3 linked regions of the Drosophila melanogaster genome follow. The protein of the gene in region 2 purifies or fractionates together with the protein of the main gene of each other region. This does not show direct contact. Each region holds a gene or a part of one and is shown on either strand. Other genes may lie near its edges.

Region 1 (4,903 bases), 3.5 Mb from region 2:
GAAAAATACTTGTGTTGTATTTTGGGTCTTAAAAAATTATAAGTCAATAAAAATACTTTGAAGTTTTGATGGCTTTTTGCTGTGCAATATTTTTCGGGTTTTCCTGATTTTTTAATGCCTCTTGTTCTTGACGCCAGTCTTCTACTGCTTCTTCTTGTTAGTTAGTTGTTGCTTGTTTGGATTTATGAACCTGCCACAAATTCGTCAGCGAAAATCCCTGGGAAAATTCTCTCAGCTGCTGTGTTTTTGTTCCGTTTTTTGTTTTTCTTTTCGCTTCTTGTTGAGTTTGTCAAATTTTTGACATTGAATCTGCAATGCGGGTGGCTAGAAAAAAAAAGGATAGCCGCAGGTGAAGGCAGCAAAGGATCTGCAGGAGCAATGCAGTTTCAGCCCGACTGATTTTTCCACGCTTGGATTTATTTTCATTTTTTCCGGCTGCGCTGCGTGTTTTTTTCCCACGCCCCAGAAAAAAAAAACTGGCTGCTTGTGAAATAATTGATGTGCAAATGTTCAATTGAGTTCACCTTGAGTGAAAGTGAGGGGCAAAAGGAAGCCAATAGATAGACGGCGGCTTTCACTCTGACGAACGTTAAATGTCAATGGAATGTGGGGTGGGGTGGGGTTGGGTGTAAACGAGAGGAGGTGTCTGCAAATTGGTGGCTTAAATTGATTAAGCTCCAAATGCAATCGATTATAAATTATTAAGAGCAGCTTAGGCCTATTATGTGTGGATAGCTGATATATTGGTATTAGGAAATTCATAACAAGTTCATTGAAAATTCGCGGTTATTAATTATTTATTATTATTTAATTATTTATTATCCATAATACTTGGATTAAAATGAATTTAAAAAGCTAATAGCGTTTGTAGAAATATTATAGAGTGTGAAGCTAAACTTAAAATTATAATCTCATAACTTGAAACATTAAGTGTCTTATATATTTTGCAAACTGACTTCTATTCAAAATATGGCAATTTCTCAAAAGTTTCAACAGCCTGGGGAAATGTTTCTTCAAATAAAGCGAAAACTGAAGGGGTAACTTTATGCACTGAATAAAGGGATTTTATCGCTCAACAAAGAAGCAGTTTATGTCCTAATGGACTTTTTAGAACAAGAGGTTCATGAAAAGCAGTAAACATGCTTATGGGATATATTTGGAAGTTAAAAAGCAGTCATATCTCAAGAAGGATATTTTTAGACTAATGTAAGGGCATTTTAGACCGGGTGTCCTTGGAAGCAGTGCAGGAAAGGATTTTTGTTTCAACTGTAAACAGGAGCATTTACCACACGTAGGATTTATTTAGCAGCTAAAAGATTTTTTGACTATGGTCTATGGAAAAATATATCATTCTACTTAAACTAAAAAGCAGTGCAGACTGCTTTCTACTTAAAGCAGGGGAAGAATATGCAAGACCAAATAGTATGAAAATTGGTAATAAGTCTCTTAATTTTTTGAAAATATTATCTAAGCCAAATATAAATATTTAAAATTAAAGATATAAAAAATAATACTTTTAGGGCACTTACTTTTAGGTAAAAATTAAATATATTTTTTCTAAATTTATTATGATTATTTTTAAAATTTATTTAGTTTATTAATGCCCATTCCCACATTTCACATTGCGCTGCAAGGATATTTGCGGGATATTATTTCCCCAGGATTTCACGAAGCTTTAACACACATTCGGAGTGCGGCGAATTGTGGTCCTTACAAGCTTTTCCGACTCGTGACTGTGTGCGTGTGCGGCTGATTGCCTGCGTGTGAGTGTCCTGTTCGCGTTGTTGTCCTAGTCGGTTTTGAACTTTTTTTTTACGTGCCTCGGAAGCCTTCGCTTTTACCTTCGCCTTTGCCTGTAGCCGCCGTAGTTCATGCCGCCGATCTCAGTATTGTGACGGCAACCAGGGGCTGCGGAAGTGCCACACACTCGCGACCTCGAGTCCTTTTCGCGCACAACGGTAAATCGAGTGGGTTAGGCGGTTTTTCGAGTTTTTCGAGTTTCCCGTGTTTTCCGACTTTTCCGGCGACCCAAGGAAAGGCGTAATTTTGAAGTGCGTTAACGAGGAGATTCGCCGGAAAGCGGACTTTTCAATGGCCCCGTGGAGTGAAAAGTGGGAAACAACAATAGAAATTTAAATATTCATGAACAGTGTCGATTGTCATCAATTGTGCGATGTTGTGCGGTGGCTGTGGACACATCGCACCCGCCAAACATTGTGTGGAACATTTCCCGCTCCTTTCGCCAATCAATGGCTGTTCACACATGAACACGAATATATTTAAAGACTTACAATTTTGGGCTCCGTTCATATCTTATGTAAATGAATCGAGAGCGATAAATTATATTTAGGATTTTGTTATCTAAGGCGACATGGGTGCATTGCTCAAAAACATGTAATTTAAGTGCACACTACATGAGTCAGTCACTTGAGATCGTTCCCCGCCTCCTAAAATAGTCCCTTAGTGGGAGACCACAGATAAGGTCCTCGCCGCTCAAGATAGGCAGATGTGCCCGAGCGTGGGACCTCGATAAGGCGGGGACTATTTACGTAGGCCTCTGCGTAGGCCATTTACTTTAAGATGCGATTCTCATGTCACCTATTTAAACCGAAGATATTTCCAAATAAAATCAGTTTTCTTACAAAAACTCAACGAGTAAAGTCTTCTTATTTGGGATTTTACATTTGGTCAATCGAGCCTTTAATCGACTCTGCAGTTTCCCCCTACCAAAGGTAAGGAACTCAGAGAAAGGCCAGCTCCTTTAAGCATCTTACAGCTAAAGGTAGCAAAAATAAGTGACTCTTGTTTCCCCCTACCAAAGGTAAGGAACAGAGTATAAATATAAAAAGCAAAAGATACAAAAGAATCTTTTATGTTTTAAAACAAGCACCTTATAGTCTATAGCTAAAGGTTGCTTTGTGTACCATTATAAATTGTGGTAAGGCGTGCTTGAGGCCATACATCAGCAATTGTGAAATTAAAAAGTGCATAACAAAAGTGCCTTATAAATGCTCTAATAGCATTAAATCAGCTCATAAATAGAGTGCAGTGTATATGCCATAAGAGCATAAATTAAATAAAAAGTGCCTGAAAACAGTGCCTTATAAATGCTCTAATAGCATTAAATCAGCTCATAAATAGAGCGCAGTGTATATGCCAAAAGAGCATAAATGCCGAAATAAATGGCTAAAAAACAAAAAATCTGACTGGACTACAAAAATAATAAAACGTGCCAAAAAAAAAAAAAAAATCATCTTTAAACATCGACGGAGCCTTAAAGAAGAGAAGGAAGTCAAATTCAAAGGAGCCTCTACCAGCAGCAGAAGCAGCAACAACAGCAGCAGCAGAAGCAGCAACAGCAGTAGCAACAGCAGCAACAACAGCAGCAACAGCAGCAGCAACAACAACGACATCAGCTAAGTCAAAACAAGAATTTTCTGTTTATCCAAACACACATATATATATAAATACATATAAAATACATATACACGTACTATATATATTAAGAAATTACAAAAAATTTTCAAAATGATGTCAGAAAAGACTATTCAATTCCTTAAGAAGCAGTCCGAAATTATTTTGGAAATTAGAAAGTTGGAAGTAAAACCAACATTAACAGATGTAGAAATTCTAAAATTAAATGAGCTTCAAAAATGTTTCATTGCTAATCATAGCAATTTGTTAAAGATCGGCGTTGTCGATCATGAATATTTTAACGCGAAGCAGTATGATTTAATAATGATGGTGTTAGAAAAAATTAAAAATAAAAATGAAAAAATTAAGGGCGAGTCGGTAGAAAACACTTTCCCTAAATCAAACACTGTCCCTAAATCAAACCCTCCCCCTACATTAAACCTTGAAATGCGTGGTCACCCTGAAAAAGAGGGTATAGCACAAAACAACGCTTTAAAAGTAGAGCAGGCATTTCGTAATAATGTTGGCCAATTTCGAGTATATCTAGAAGATACGTCTAAACTAATAGACAGTAGTCCAGATTTCCTTAAAATAAGGAAAAATAAAATTGAATTTTTATGGCATAAAATAGATAACCTGATTGAACAGGTGAATAGTCATTTTGAGAGTTCGCTATTCGAAGAAGAAATTAGCGAACTTGAATTTGACAAACAAAATATTCTTACAGCCATTAATAGTCGACTCAGTGGCACAATAAATAAAGCTGAAATGTCGACGGTTGTTAAGGCGGAGGAGTTACCAACCCTGCCTAAAATACAGATTCCCACCTTCTTTGGTGATTCCAAAGAATGGGATCTTTTTAATGAACTCTTTACAGAGCTCATACATGTGAGAGAGGATCTCAGTCCTTCTCTCAAATTTAATTATCTAAAGTCAGCATTAAAAGGAGAAGCCAGAAATGTGGTTACTCATTTACTGCTCGGCTCTGGAGAAAATTATGAAGCCACTTGGGAGTTTTTGACCAAGCGATATGAGAATAAAAGAAACATATTCTCAGATCATATGAATAGGCTTATGGATATGCCAAATTTAAATTTAGAATCCAATAAGCAAATAAAGACATTTATTGACACGATTAACGAGTCAATTTATATTATAAAATTAAAGGCACAATTACCAGAAGATGTGGATGCAATTTTCGCTCACATAATTCTTCGGAAATTCAATAAAGAATCACTCAATTTATATGAAAGCCATGTTAAAAAGACAAAAGAAATACAGGCACTTTCTGATGTCATGGACTTTTTAGAGCAAAGGCTCAATTCTATATCATCATTCTCACAGGAAGTAAAACCTGTAAAGAAAATGATTAATAATAACAAGAATAAAAATTATAGTGACAATTGTGCATATTGCAAACTACCAGGGCATTATTTAATTCAATGCCATAAATTTAAAATAATGAATCCAGCAGAACGGTCTGACTGGG
Region 2 (4,668 bases):
AATATGCAAGTAAAGGAAATATTTTTTTCTGGTTTTAGGCAACCAGCAAGGGTAGTCGAAACTTTTGAGAAATTGCGAAACGTCATTTATCTATTGTAAAAGGAGAAAATGAGTACTTGGGCTATGAGTGCTTCTTGGCCCTCGGTTTAATTAGAGCCACATCCACTGGGAGCGTTTACATCATTTGCCATAATTCATCTGTCCACTGACTGCCAGCTGCTGTTGTGCATCGCTCGAAATAAAAATCAAATCACAGAGCCGTCCATCTTGGCTGTCAGTTGCCATGATGCTTGCTTGTTTTTCCTTGCCTTGTCTCTTCTCAGCTGGGAAATTTCTTTTAATATAACAAGCCATGCGAAATGCGTACACAAAAAGATGGCAAAATGCTTGCTCCAACGCCCGCTCACACTAACTAGCCACAAGCAGCATTTCCCACTGACATGCAGCTTGTGCATTTTCCCCGTCTTGCATTTGATTAACCTACAAAAAGGCGTTTGGACGTGCGATGCAGTTCGCACAGTGGGCGTTCCTGTTTGTTGCTGCGGTTTCTGGGCTTTTCTTAACGGGCAACTTTAATAAAAAAAACGGTCAGCGGGGGACGGGATGCAGCTGCAGCGGGGGAAAATGCATAAATGCATAAAAAATTGGCCAGCTTACAAGCCGCTTTACATATGCAACATGGGCGCCTGCTGTGCGGGTGTGTGGGTGTGCGGAAGTGCATTGGCACACATATACTTGTACGAGCACACATTGTTGCAAGCAGACATTTTTCCGACACGTGTTTGCTTTCCCGCACTTCCGTTTCCGCCGAGCCATTGATGTGACTTTCCGTCATTTTGTGGGAGAACGAGCTGCTTTTCCGACGCCTTGCCAGCCCCTCAAAGACTTAATTATTTTTCACCAAATAATTAATCAGAGTGAAATGGGAAACTAACAAAATCGGACAGGATGGTGAGACCGACCCCATTTACTCTTGTGATGAAATTTCGAAACTTTGGTAAAACACTTTTTGGCCCTGTGCGAAAGTATGCTGTGAACTATTGCAGCCACCTGAAAGCATTCACGCATATTCGTATGTGTGCGCGTGTGTGTGTGGCCAAGCGTTTGCGCTCGTTTGTGTTTTGTGGGTTGGCCATGCATTTCCGGTTTTAATGATTATAACACAATCAAGTGCATATTGCCTAATTAGCGATCCCCAGCAGCAAGCGCCGTCCAGGCCGCATAAAGTGCATAAAATATTTCCCGCACTCGCTGCGGGCGCTTCATCCGCATGTGCATATGCATGTGTTAGTGTTCGCTCGCGTGCGCTAGTGTGTGTGAGTGCTCGCATATTTTATGTCGCTTATTGGACGGCCATCCACAACGAGCTGTGCATCTATAGTATGTATGTGCATGTATATGCTTCTAGCAGCTAAATTTCATATTCATGTTGTTTATACGGCTTCCGTTTTGGGTGCGTGTGCGAAAATATTGTGTGTAATTGTGCGGTCGGCTACCCGTTTTATTTGATAATTGTGCACAAAACTCCCCACCTATTCATTAGCGCTGACGAACAGCGCCCCACAAATTTGTAGACACAACAAAGGCAAACTGTTATTCCATTTTCCCCCCCAAAGTCTGACACTTGACGCGAGCTCCCAATAATTTAGTTAAAGCTCGTCCTTGGGTGATTTTCGTCCTGCACTTCAAACTGTTTTCGGGCTACAAGTGAAGTAAAGTTATCAAAAAAGTTTGCTGATACCAAGTATTCGACGTTTCGCAAACTTTTCTGAATTATATGTGTATATACGAAAGTAGTGAATGCATATAATAAAGGATAAACGTTGCTTAAGAAATCATGTTGCATGGAACTTAATTTGTTAAGCACATCATTCAGGCTTGAATATTTTTAGCTAGCAATGGCAATGCTAGAAGTCAAAGGAATTGTAATAATAATAAATCGCTATTTTGTTTATGTTGATAACGAGAAGGATATTTTAGGATACTAATATACAAAATACAAAGACAAAATATCCTAGGGGTTTCAAATCATAGAATTGGGCAGAGCTAACAAGTTATTAAGGCATAAAAACCAAATATATATATATAAATATATATATATATGTATCCTTTTGCCATTAATGTTAACCTTTATTGTATACAATAATTGTTTTTCTGACCCTGTTGTTTAAGTTTTCCTTTCATCAATATAAAAGCTTTTTTCCTTTTTTCTTAGATTTATTACGCGTTTTATAACAAACCGCTGCTGTAATGTGACACGGCTTTATGTTGTCAACCACTTTCGAAAGTAATTCATTTTTTTTCAAACAAAATTTCATAATTTCGTTGCGTTCTGTTTGATCATAATCCTGTTTTGAAACGACATTTTTTGTTGATGCTGCGCTTTGCGGGCCACTTTTAATTGCAATAATTAAATGTCAAATTAAATCCTAAATTCCTCGGTGGAATTAATTCAATTGGCGTGACAGTCAAAGTGAAATAACGAATAAAATACCACAATTTCCCAGCGCCGCTAGGGCCCTTCTATAAATGCCGTTTGCAGGCTCTACCAGCCGAGAGAAATGCTGTGATTGTTTTTCCGCAAGTCGGCACTCCTCTTTCATTTTTTTTCGCCAGCCATTTAATGAGCCACGCTCGACTTGCCGCCAAGAATGCAATCAACAGGGGAGGGGAGCGGAGAATGCACGGGTATGCACCAGGACCTTAGTACCCAGCAAGGAGCCAGGACCGGCACAATTTGCGTTAAGCGGGCTGTGAAAAATGAAGTACCAAATTGAAGTTGGCAGCCAGCGTCTCCGGTTGTGTCTTGCACTTATTTATTTATTTAATTCTGGCCATTCCTTCCGCTTACGTACAGTGCTGAGCTATTGTCCTCCGATGATATCGCAGGCACTCGCGACTCGCGGCATTCAATTCAAGCGAGGGACGAAACGCGAGCGCGTCGACTTTCGACACCAACGTGTTAAGAGCTGCGAACTGGTGCGACCGTCAGCGTTGCGCACTAAAACCATACTAAACTAATTTGCTTAGCAGGACGCACTGATTACACAAAGTCCTCGAAGGGCGATAATCGCCGTCATTCGTCACGACTGTCGACTACCGAGCGCTCTTCGGCTCGGAGTTCGTGGAGTTCGGCAAGCACTCGCGAACTTGCCGAAGCGAGCCGAACTCCAAAGGCAAAGAGAACCAGGTCCCGTTAGAGAGCAACAGAGCCAGAGCTCTGTTAGCTGGTTAACAGTGCTGTGGCAGGATAAGAAACCATTGTTGGGGCATCGAAGTCGACCCTTATAGCAGCAAACTATTCTTCCTATTTGGTGGGCTTAAATCTACAATGCAACTTCCAAATAGACCAAACGACTCATATCCTGGCATACTGATTTTTAGAGCTCTTTCCACTAATTTATCGATTTAAATGCAAAAATTTCGTGCCATCTAGCCCGGCATTCCCCAATGATGACCGAGCTTTCAATCATTTAAAATTCCCCAAATACACACACACACGCGGAACACACTCTTCCCTCATCAATGCAAAAATCAAACATTATTTATGCAAATTACAAGCCATTATTATTTAAGCCAACAACCACAAAGGCAGTAATAGTGGGCAAGTACGAGGAGGGGAAAGGGAAACTCCGACCAACAATCATATCCGTCATAGTCATAAAGCCAGGGACCAGGGGACAGCGGGGCCTGCCAATGCTTTGGGGAACCAATTTGGCAGCCGGCATAAATAAATTTTTACTTAATGTAGGTCAGTAATGTGCGCTTCGGTCTCTCTTACCCAAGGCTTCTCTCTTCGGCAAGCGGTGCTCTTTAGAGCGTTCTCTCTTCGGACGCAGCGCCGTGAAATATGCTACTAAAGTTGCTTCTTTTCCGGCTGCGTGTGTGTAGGTGCTCGGGAAATGCCATCAAGCATCAAAGGACCGGGTATGCTTGCATAATGCAAACAGCCAATGATATTGCCATGATTCGTTGAATAATTTCAATTCCAGCTTTCAAGTTGCACACACCAGTAGTCGGTAATTGGTATTAAATAGTTGGGTAGTTAAAAATTTGATGTCATAAAAATAATAAATGCTATTTAGTTATTTGGTAGGAAATCTTCATAAATTCTTAGCTTTCTTCTAAATTCAAAGGTGAAAAGTAAACGCTAGTAGCACAAATTTTTTAGTGTTAAGATATTTTTCGAACATAAAACAATTGCATCTGAATACCTTCGAATAAGCACTGACGCTAACACGATGAATAGCTGAGTGATATCCATCCTAAGTAAAGTTGCATTTGCCAGGGGCTGCATAAATAAATTAGGATACCGAAACTGAGCCAACCGTCTAAACTTCAAAACTCACTTGGTTTCCCATGGATTTTTGCGTAAGTTTAGCTCTACTCACAGTAGACTGCTACAGTCTCCCCCTTCATTCCCTTTAAACAGATCCTGAGACCCACACAAAATCGTCTCCTTGTAACGCATCCTGCAACGCAAGTTGCTCGAAATTTATGTACAAACTCACTTAGGCAAGAATGTTTATGCGTTTTGTACGTGTTGGTTACTGTCGCTCATGTGGGTAGCATCCTCCACATCCTTACCTTGCGCCATCTCATTCCAGCGATCCCACTCGTTTATTTTGGCATTTCTACGAATTTTTTGGGGAAATTTTGTAATGCTGT
Region 3 (7,902 bases), on a different chromosome or scaffold from region 2:
ACTTTACTTTAAACTTTAATGTCTTGGATGTTGTCTTGTATAGGGGCGGCTTGCAATATATCGGAGGAACTCGAACCTTATTCTTAAAGATCATTAAGCTGTAGCACATTAAAAACTTTCTTAACTATAAAAACTATATTATTAAAGGAACACAAGAGTGTTCTGAATGATTTATTTGCGATATAAAACATATTAATCGTATCCGCCATTATGTTGCAGGAGTAAAGATCGGACCAATTAAAGCCAGCTATAAAATTGTTTAGCCTACGAAAATTTGCCTTGCGAAAACAGTGAATTCGCTTGGTTGACTTCTCTGAATTTACTTATACCTTACCTATGTCGATTGCCACCTCGAAAGTAGGATATGGATCTTGAGGTTGAGTAAGAGGGTCTACCCTGGACAGAAACACACTTTCAGGACTTGTTACAAAACATAGATCCAACAGTCGACCAAGAGAGTTTGGAATATAATTAACTAGCGACAAAGATAAGTCGAGCAAGCCGTCAATAAAGTCATGTTGTGCTAAAGGGAGAAGGATATTCGATTTTTCTTCTGGGGACCCCGTTGTGCCAGGTATATTAAAATCACCTAGAACTACCAATTGGTCCCTGTCAGACAGTTTATTCAAGATGGACTGGATATCGGACAGATGATTCTTATATTCTGGGAATTCAGAAGATGGCGGAATATACGAGCACGTAATATAAACTGAACTGTCGGAAAATTACAGCTTTACACATAAGAATTCCGAGTTACGGGAATCGCCCAAAAGTAACTCTTCTGACGAGAGGATAGATCTAACCGCAATTAAGACTCCACCTCCCCGTCTGGAGGGACGGTCATACCAAAGACACTACAATGACAAGATGCGTAACGGCCATACATTGGTTTGGCACTATGCAGCCGCCACTTTTTTGGTGACGGCCAAAATTGCTCTCTGTCCGCTAGCTTACGCCGAGAGCGTAAGAAATCTTAAAATAGAACTTGCTTGCTTGTGCAAGTAAAAACAAGAGACGAGAACGCGTATATGTGTGCGTGTTGTTCTAGAAGACGATTTCGGGCCGAAAATTTTAGTGCCTTTGATCTGTCCCTAGCGTAAGAGAAGTTACACTTTTCCACTTTTATATTATCGGCTTTTGTTTTGTCTTGTATATAAGACAATACATCAGACAATGTTTCATCACGGGAAAGCCGAGAAACGAAAATTTGTTTATTTAGTGGAACCACCGCGAGGGGTTTTGGTCCTGCAGATTGTATTTCTGAAGTGCCAACTTGTGCCGTTAGTCCGGACTCAATGTTCCGTTGTGGTGGTAAACTAATCGGGACAGGTGGAATCACTGGTTAAGAAACCAGTGCAGGCAATTCGGAATTTTAAGCAATCACAGGTTGGGGTCAAACTGCACAAATCACAAAAGAATCACTCGCGAAGCGAACGGATCTTTAATAATTATGTTTAAAATATTTGATAATTAAAAAAGATTATTAAAAACCACGGCTGGTTGGACAAACACGAAATAAAAATCGGGTCGCAAAAAAAAAAACACGAACGTTCGCTTTGAAAGCTAATAGACTTTTTGAAGGCTTAATTATTAACATTGTATTTATACAGGGATAAGAGAACCTCACATTGGAGTTGATTAGGTTCGGGGATTGAATCTTAATACATTTAATTTAATTATTCTCAGCTTGCAAACCAGTTTATCGACAAGTAAGAAACGATGTTCCGGTTCCGCCTGATAAACAGCTACATCTTATATTGCATGTCGTCTAAACCCTTGAAGTTAGAGCTCCTTGTCTTCGTATCATAGATATGTATTGTGAGGAGTCTTAAAACTCCCCACAAATCCGGGGAGCACCAGCGAAGAAGGCGAAGGTTAAAGTCAGCTCTAACAGGAAATAGTGGATCTTAAACCCTGGTAAAGCGGATGCCGTGAACTAACGGTACCGCGCTGAACCTTGGACTCGAGCCAGAAATCAGTGAACTTTTAGTGGCCATGGAAAAAAAATGTTTGGCAACTCAATAAAAATTTACAAGACTAATGAAAAAAAATATCAAAAAATTTTGCAAAAGTGTGGGTGTGGCAGTTTTGGGCGGTTAGAGTAGGCGTGTCAACGCGTGGTTGAAAATACGAAGGAAACTATTCCTTTCTTGTAAGCAAAGAACAGCTGGCAAAACGCGAAACTAGAGTTTATTCGTACTATATAGGGTTGATAAAAATCTATTATCTTACCTTAATGTTATTTATATATTATAATGGAAATTATATTGGTAGTCATCTTTCTCTTAGATACATATGCTCCATAAGACTTGAAATATATAACAACACTTTTGTTGATATGATAGTTATCATTGCAGTGAAAGCCCTAATCCGAATGGCAGAACTTGTTTGCATTGCTGCAGGCTGCTCACCTGTACCAATGAAATATTTAAAAACATATTAAATTGAAATAATTTTATGTTTACCAGTTAATACGTGAACCCTAACAGAAGCTGGAATGGCTCCATTTGGAACGCATGTATAGTTTCCAGAATCCCTTAATGAAGCTCGCGTTAGCATCAATCGACTCGTTGTTCCTACATCAGTTTTTTCCGTTTCTAAACTTATTCCACCGCGAAGTGAATCGAAGTCAACAACTGATGAGCCATGATACCTTTGATATAGTAAAATAAGTTGTTAAAATCTCTTACAAAGATCATGGTTTCTTACCAAATCACAGATGGTGCATGTATATTAACAGAGCAAGCCAGGGCAATAGTGCTATCCCGTTTTACATGAATTTCCGTAGATCCAAGAATTTTTGCTCGAGCCGCTTTAAAATATCACAGATAATTTTAATTTTAAGCAAGCTATAAAAGGCCTTACACTTTGTGTCGTAAAACCGCTTCTTAGTTTTAAGGTCTTGAAAGTCGTTGTCAGCTAAAATTTTATACAAAAGTAAATTTAGTATGAGTAATTAAATTAATACAACATTTTCTGGGGGTAAGCATATTTATGAACTCTTCCAGGTGAAATTAAAACCTGAATCAAACAAAAACCAGAGAATGAGACCCAAGTCGGTCCGAGAATTTTTAACATCTTTCAAGAATATCGATTGAACTTGGGAAAAAAGTTAATTTTAATTCCCTAAGGTGTGGGCGGGATAGATTTGGGCGTGTTTTATGGTTCAAAGTGGGCGTAGGTAAAATGTTTTCGGCATATCGGTAGAAATTAGCAAACCAACTGATTTGTGGGAGTTAGAGTGGGCCTGGCAGTATGTCTGTAGAATCTGTATGCTAATCTCAAACTTCTAGCTTTTATAGTTCCTTAGATCTCGACGTTCATACGGACGGAAGGACATACTCGGGTATTTATCCTGAATATAGTTGGAAACGCTTCCTTCTGTCTATTACATTAAAAGTAATGATTATAAAAACTCCTCGACTTTCATGTACCGTGCGGGTAAAGTTTTTGGTCGGTTCTTAAGTAGGAAAGCTCAACTTTCTTTATCAAGTTCTTTATCAAGAAAATGTAGATCAATTCTCAATATTTAGTTAGTTAGTTGTTAAAAAAGCTGAACGCATGTCAACTGTGAAAATTGACTGATTTTGTTGCTTTCTAACTTAAAATCGCGAATTTTCGAAAATGTGTTTAATATCAAAAGTCGGGGAATTTTTTGTAAAATTATCAAAAGAGTCAAAAGGTTCCTTTTGCTGCAGTCTTTAACCTGTTGAATTTAGATAAAATAGGTTTAAACAGTATAGATAGCATTTGAATATGCATTTCCAGCTATTTATTGCCCAATACTCTAGACTCATTACTTTACTAATTTGTGTTCAGATTTAAAATTTTTAATTGCCAAGACTTGTTGATTTCTGCCTCTTGATTTCTGTATTATTTGTTATGGTCGCTCAACGACAAAATTTAGTTTTGTATATACAGTACTCGAGTTCCACAGTTATTATTTTGTTTTTTTTTTTTTTGTTTGTTAATAAATGTTTATATATATACCTATTACTTGCAAACAAATTGCTAAATTTATTTTAGGCTCGGTATTCACTTGACACTCATATACGCCACTGTCTCTTGGCTGTGCATAATCAATTTTTAAGTCCCAATCTTCACTGCCTGGTGGATGTATTACAGAAAATCGTTGATCGCCGGTGTAAGTATAAATGTTCGTTGTAAGAATGTGAAGATCCCGCTTACGCATCCATGATACCTGAAATAATTAAAAGTATTTATAAGAAATATTAAATAGATACGCAATTTTAGGACAAGGGAAAGTTAAGTCCTCCGCTATCTGATAACCCTTTCACTATTTCAAAATGTAATCATTTATTCCTAATCCTATTTGTTTAGATATAGGCAAGCTTGCTAGAGAAACATGAGACTTAAAAGAATTTTTCACATTTTCAAATTGAGAACAGGCCTCGAAACAAGCTTGATCGATGGAAATGGAGGCAAGTTCCCACGTAGATTTGGGAGGAGAGTTGAAAAGGGCTAGCGAAAAGACAGCGCAAGCTAGCAATCCTTGGGAGAAAACTGCCTTTAAAAAATAAAACGTTTTCCTGGTGTGTCCCCAAGTTTAGTTTGAAATTTAAGGTTACTTCCCCCTCAAACAATTTTCCGTCACTAATTCGTACAGTCGTACTTTTTACCATGTGACCGAATGTGCTCTTCAAACGAATAAAAATGTTTCGATATAATCCTATGTGTAAGAATAAAAGAAAGAACCCATAATGACTTACCGTGCGATTTCCTTTATTTTTAACCCGACATCTTAATATTGCGATTTCGTCGACTACGGCCGACACATTTCTTGGGCTAATATCATCAAAGAAAGGTCGCTCCAAATTGGTTAGGTCTAAAATGAATTTGTATTTTATGTTAAACGAAAACGGATGCTAAATTATTCAAGCCGAAGCGTATATACCCTTGCAGGTATAAACTAAAAATAATTTTATATGCCCCTTATCTAGAAGCTAAACATTTTAATTTAAAGTTTCGATCTTTTTATGGACGGAAGTGTCGGTCAAGACTAAGAGCTTGCGACAACTATATATACATGCGCGAAATCTTTTGCGATAGGTCGATCATAAAGAGTGGTTACACTTGTTGGTGAAAGAGCTTGGGGCGAGACATGAAACTGTTGTCATCTTTTAGAAACCGAAGCTCCTCTCGAAGGATGTTTTGCAAAGCAAGCTTTCAGGTGGTAAAAATACTATGGGCAAAATGCAATATTAAGATTATTTTTTAGATTTAAATTTAGCATAATTTAAATACAATGGCTTTTTAAACATAATACTTTTGCGTATAATTTCACAATTGAATATTGTTAAGTACAATACGTACATACATGTATAATTTTTGTCTTCGTATTCAGGAATGCATTATATGTTTTCATTCTACACGTTGCAGAAGAAAATGGGTCCAACCAAAATTAAAAAAAAAATCCCGCAAGGGTAAAAATATATTTATCATTCTAGTGGGAAACTTTTAATTTAAAATGTATCTTACCGTTCAGGCTTAAATATGAAGTTGCACTAATGTATTGACACCATATATTTAAATTCAAGACTAAAATAATGAATGGTTTGATTTTAATTGGCGAATTATTCAAGAATGTGGCATGTTTGCCACGCGACATGTTGCTTTAATTCATTTGTCTTTCACAGATATGCATTATTTAGAGTAGAATTCCATATACCTATGTAGTTATAATAAATGTTAAGTATATAATTAAGTTAGATATTAAGCACACGCGAGAGCACGTATTGGCGCAAGATTTTTATTGAGAACAACTTTGTATCGGCATCGATTTTTTATCCTTTTAATGGACTTTCAAATAATATTCTGTTTTTCGGTATTTAGATCTGTGTTTTTAATATACATACAATTATACTTGCTGGCTTCAATTTTTATATACTTTTTTTAGTCTTTACACTTATTTCGTTGGCATCGACAATTATTATTTCAACGGTAAGCTCTAACAACCCCTAAGCAGCACGTTTTAGTGTTTCTGTGAGGACGACTTGTATACAGATTTTTAATATTCTGCAACCCTGAAAATATTCGCGCATGCCCATTGTCACATATGTACATATGTGTTATCTTACAATTTAGGATAGATTCTATATATTTATAGATTGCGTAGGTTATAATTATTTGTATGTATATATTTTTTAATTTTAACATTTTGAAGTCATATACTAAGTACTCTAGTTTCCTTTTATTGCTAAGACTCAGTAACACGGCTTAATAATATAAGCAATGGGCGGAATACAAATGGTACACATCAATTTGAGACTGAGATCAGATAAACGTGACAATAGCACCTTTACCCCTTAAATTTCGAACAAATTTGTTACTACTGACAGTTACATTCTCAAAAACGGTAATGGTAATGTAAGCATACATTGTGAATTTATCCTAAAAAAATGCATAAGTTATTATACCAGTTACTCGTAAATTTAAATGATATAGAAAAGGAAACGTTACCCGTTACTCGTAGAGTAAAAGGGTATACTAAAATCGTTACAAAGTATGTAACAGGCAGAAGGAAGCGTTTCCGGCTACATAAATTATATGATATTATTATATTATATACATTTTTATTCTTGATCAGGATCAAAAACCGAGTCGATCTAGCCTTATCCGTATGAACGCCGAAATCTCAGGAACCATAAAACCAAGAAGGTAGAGATTTAACATACAGCCCATATTTTAAAAAAATTGTTGGATGTTGTTCCAATATTTTATTATTCTTGTACATTTCTATCGATTTGCCAAAAAACTTTTAGCCCCGCCCTAAAGCCCCAAACCGGTCACGCCCACTCTACTATTATTATTAAATAGTATTAACTATTATTAATTTTTTTGTCATTTTATTCCCCAATATCTATCGATATCTCAGAAAAATGATAAAATTCCGCGTTTGCATTTACACTAGCTGAGTAACAGGTATCTGATAGTCGGGGAACTCGACTATAGCATTCTCTCTTGTTTTAGTTTTAAGTTGACTTGTTTGAAAATTAGTGTAAGTTAGTTTAGTTCACATAAAGTTCAGTTTCGCTCCCTTAAAAACTGTCACCGTCCTTGTTAACATCTAGGTGTTTCCTTTTGAAAATCAATTCTTAAATTCAAAATGTAGCTTCACACAGATAGAACTATAACTTTTCAACTAGCAGCTTGCACAGAGCATGACACATACATAAGGCCAATTATTCGCTTCGGACTAAACATCTGCAAAAGTGTATAATTTGTTTTCCTTATAGAAGGCAACACCATTTCAGGTCAAGGTATTTACATGAACCTAATGTAATGTCTCATCAGCTCTACCGCAATAGTAGTATTATTCTTAAATAACAGTACATTAATTGCAAACGAAAATACAAATTCCAATTGAATTTAGGTTTGTCCGGTATAAGCACGACAATTGGGATAACAAGGTATTATGAAATTGTATACATATGTTTTTGTACAAATCTTGTTTGTAAATATAAACTTAAAAAGTAAGAAAAGTAAAGAGTTTGTTTTCAGAACGTGTATATGTATGCACATTAGTCGATCACAAGCGGGATGCTCTTGTACCATAAATACATTCAAAAATAATATCTCGTGAACTTCGAAATATTTTTATGTTTTTTTTTCTGAAAATAATGTTCTCTTATTATGTACACGCTATCTCGCCAGGCATTTTGTGCTATTTTTCGAGGTTTAACAGTGTCTAAATAGAAAATAAATAGTATCAATAATATGACATATAAAAATTAAATAACAAATAAATAATCGTAAACCTCAAGGTGTCATAGTTACTATTTGTTGATAAAATTATACAGAAGTACTGGTTATTCCAGAATTTCAATATAAATATTGTGTGCTTTGAAATATAAATAAAGTCACTCACATGTGTAGATACCA

What was found. Proteins that work in one complex are often made in the same cells at the same time.
Region 1: the proteins of DIP-theta (region 2) and dpr3 purify together in Drosophila melanogaster (affinity purification with western blotting; 2 studies listed by BioGRID). This does not show direct contact.
Region 3: the proteins of DIP-theta (region 2) and dpr7 purify together in Drosophila melanogaster (affinity purification with western blotting; 2 studies listed by BioGRID). This does not show direct contact.

Annotation. Positions count from the first base shown.
Region 1 is NT_033779.5:2,106,874-2,111,776, reverse strand, and holds the start of dpr3 (defective proboscis extension response 3), read left to right. Parts: upstream 1-1,898; 5' UTR 1,899-2,051; intron 2,052-4,903.
Region 2 is NT_033779.5:5,655,540-5,660,207, forward strand, and holds the start of DIP-theta (Dpr-interacting protein theta), read right to left. Parts: upstream 3,022-4,668; 5' UTR 2,856-3,021; intron 1-2,855.
Region 3 is NC_004353.4:247,325-255,226, forward strand, and holds the start of dpr7 (defective proboscis extension response 7), read right to left. Parts: upstream 6,006-7,902; 5' UTR 5,877-6,005; exon of another isoform or gene 5,690-5,876; 5' UTR 5,630-5,689; coding exon 5,500-5,629; intron 5,388-5,499; exon of another isoform or gene 5,387-5,387; coding exon of another isoform or gene 5,335-5,386; intron 4,847-5,334; coding exon 4,731-4,846; intron 4,202-4,730; coding exon 3,991-4,201; intron 2,920-3,990; coding exon 2,866-2,919; intron 2,813-2,865; coding exon 2,710-2,812; intron 2,654-2,709; coding exon 2,466-2,653; intron 2,412-2,465; coding exon 2,275-2,411; 3' UTR 2,233-2,274; intron 1-2,232.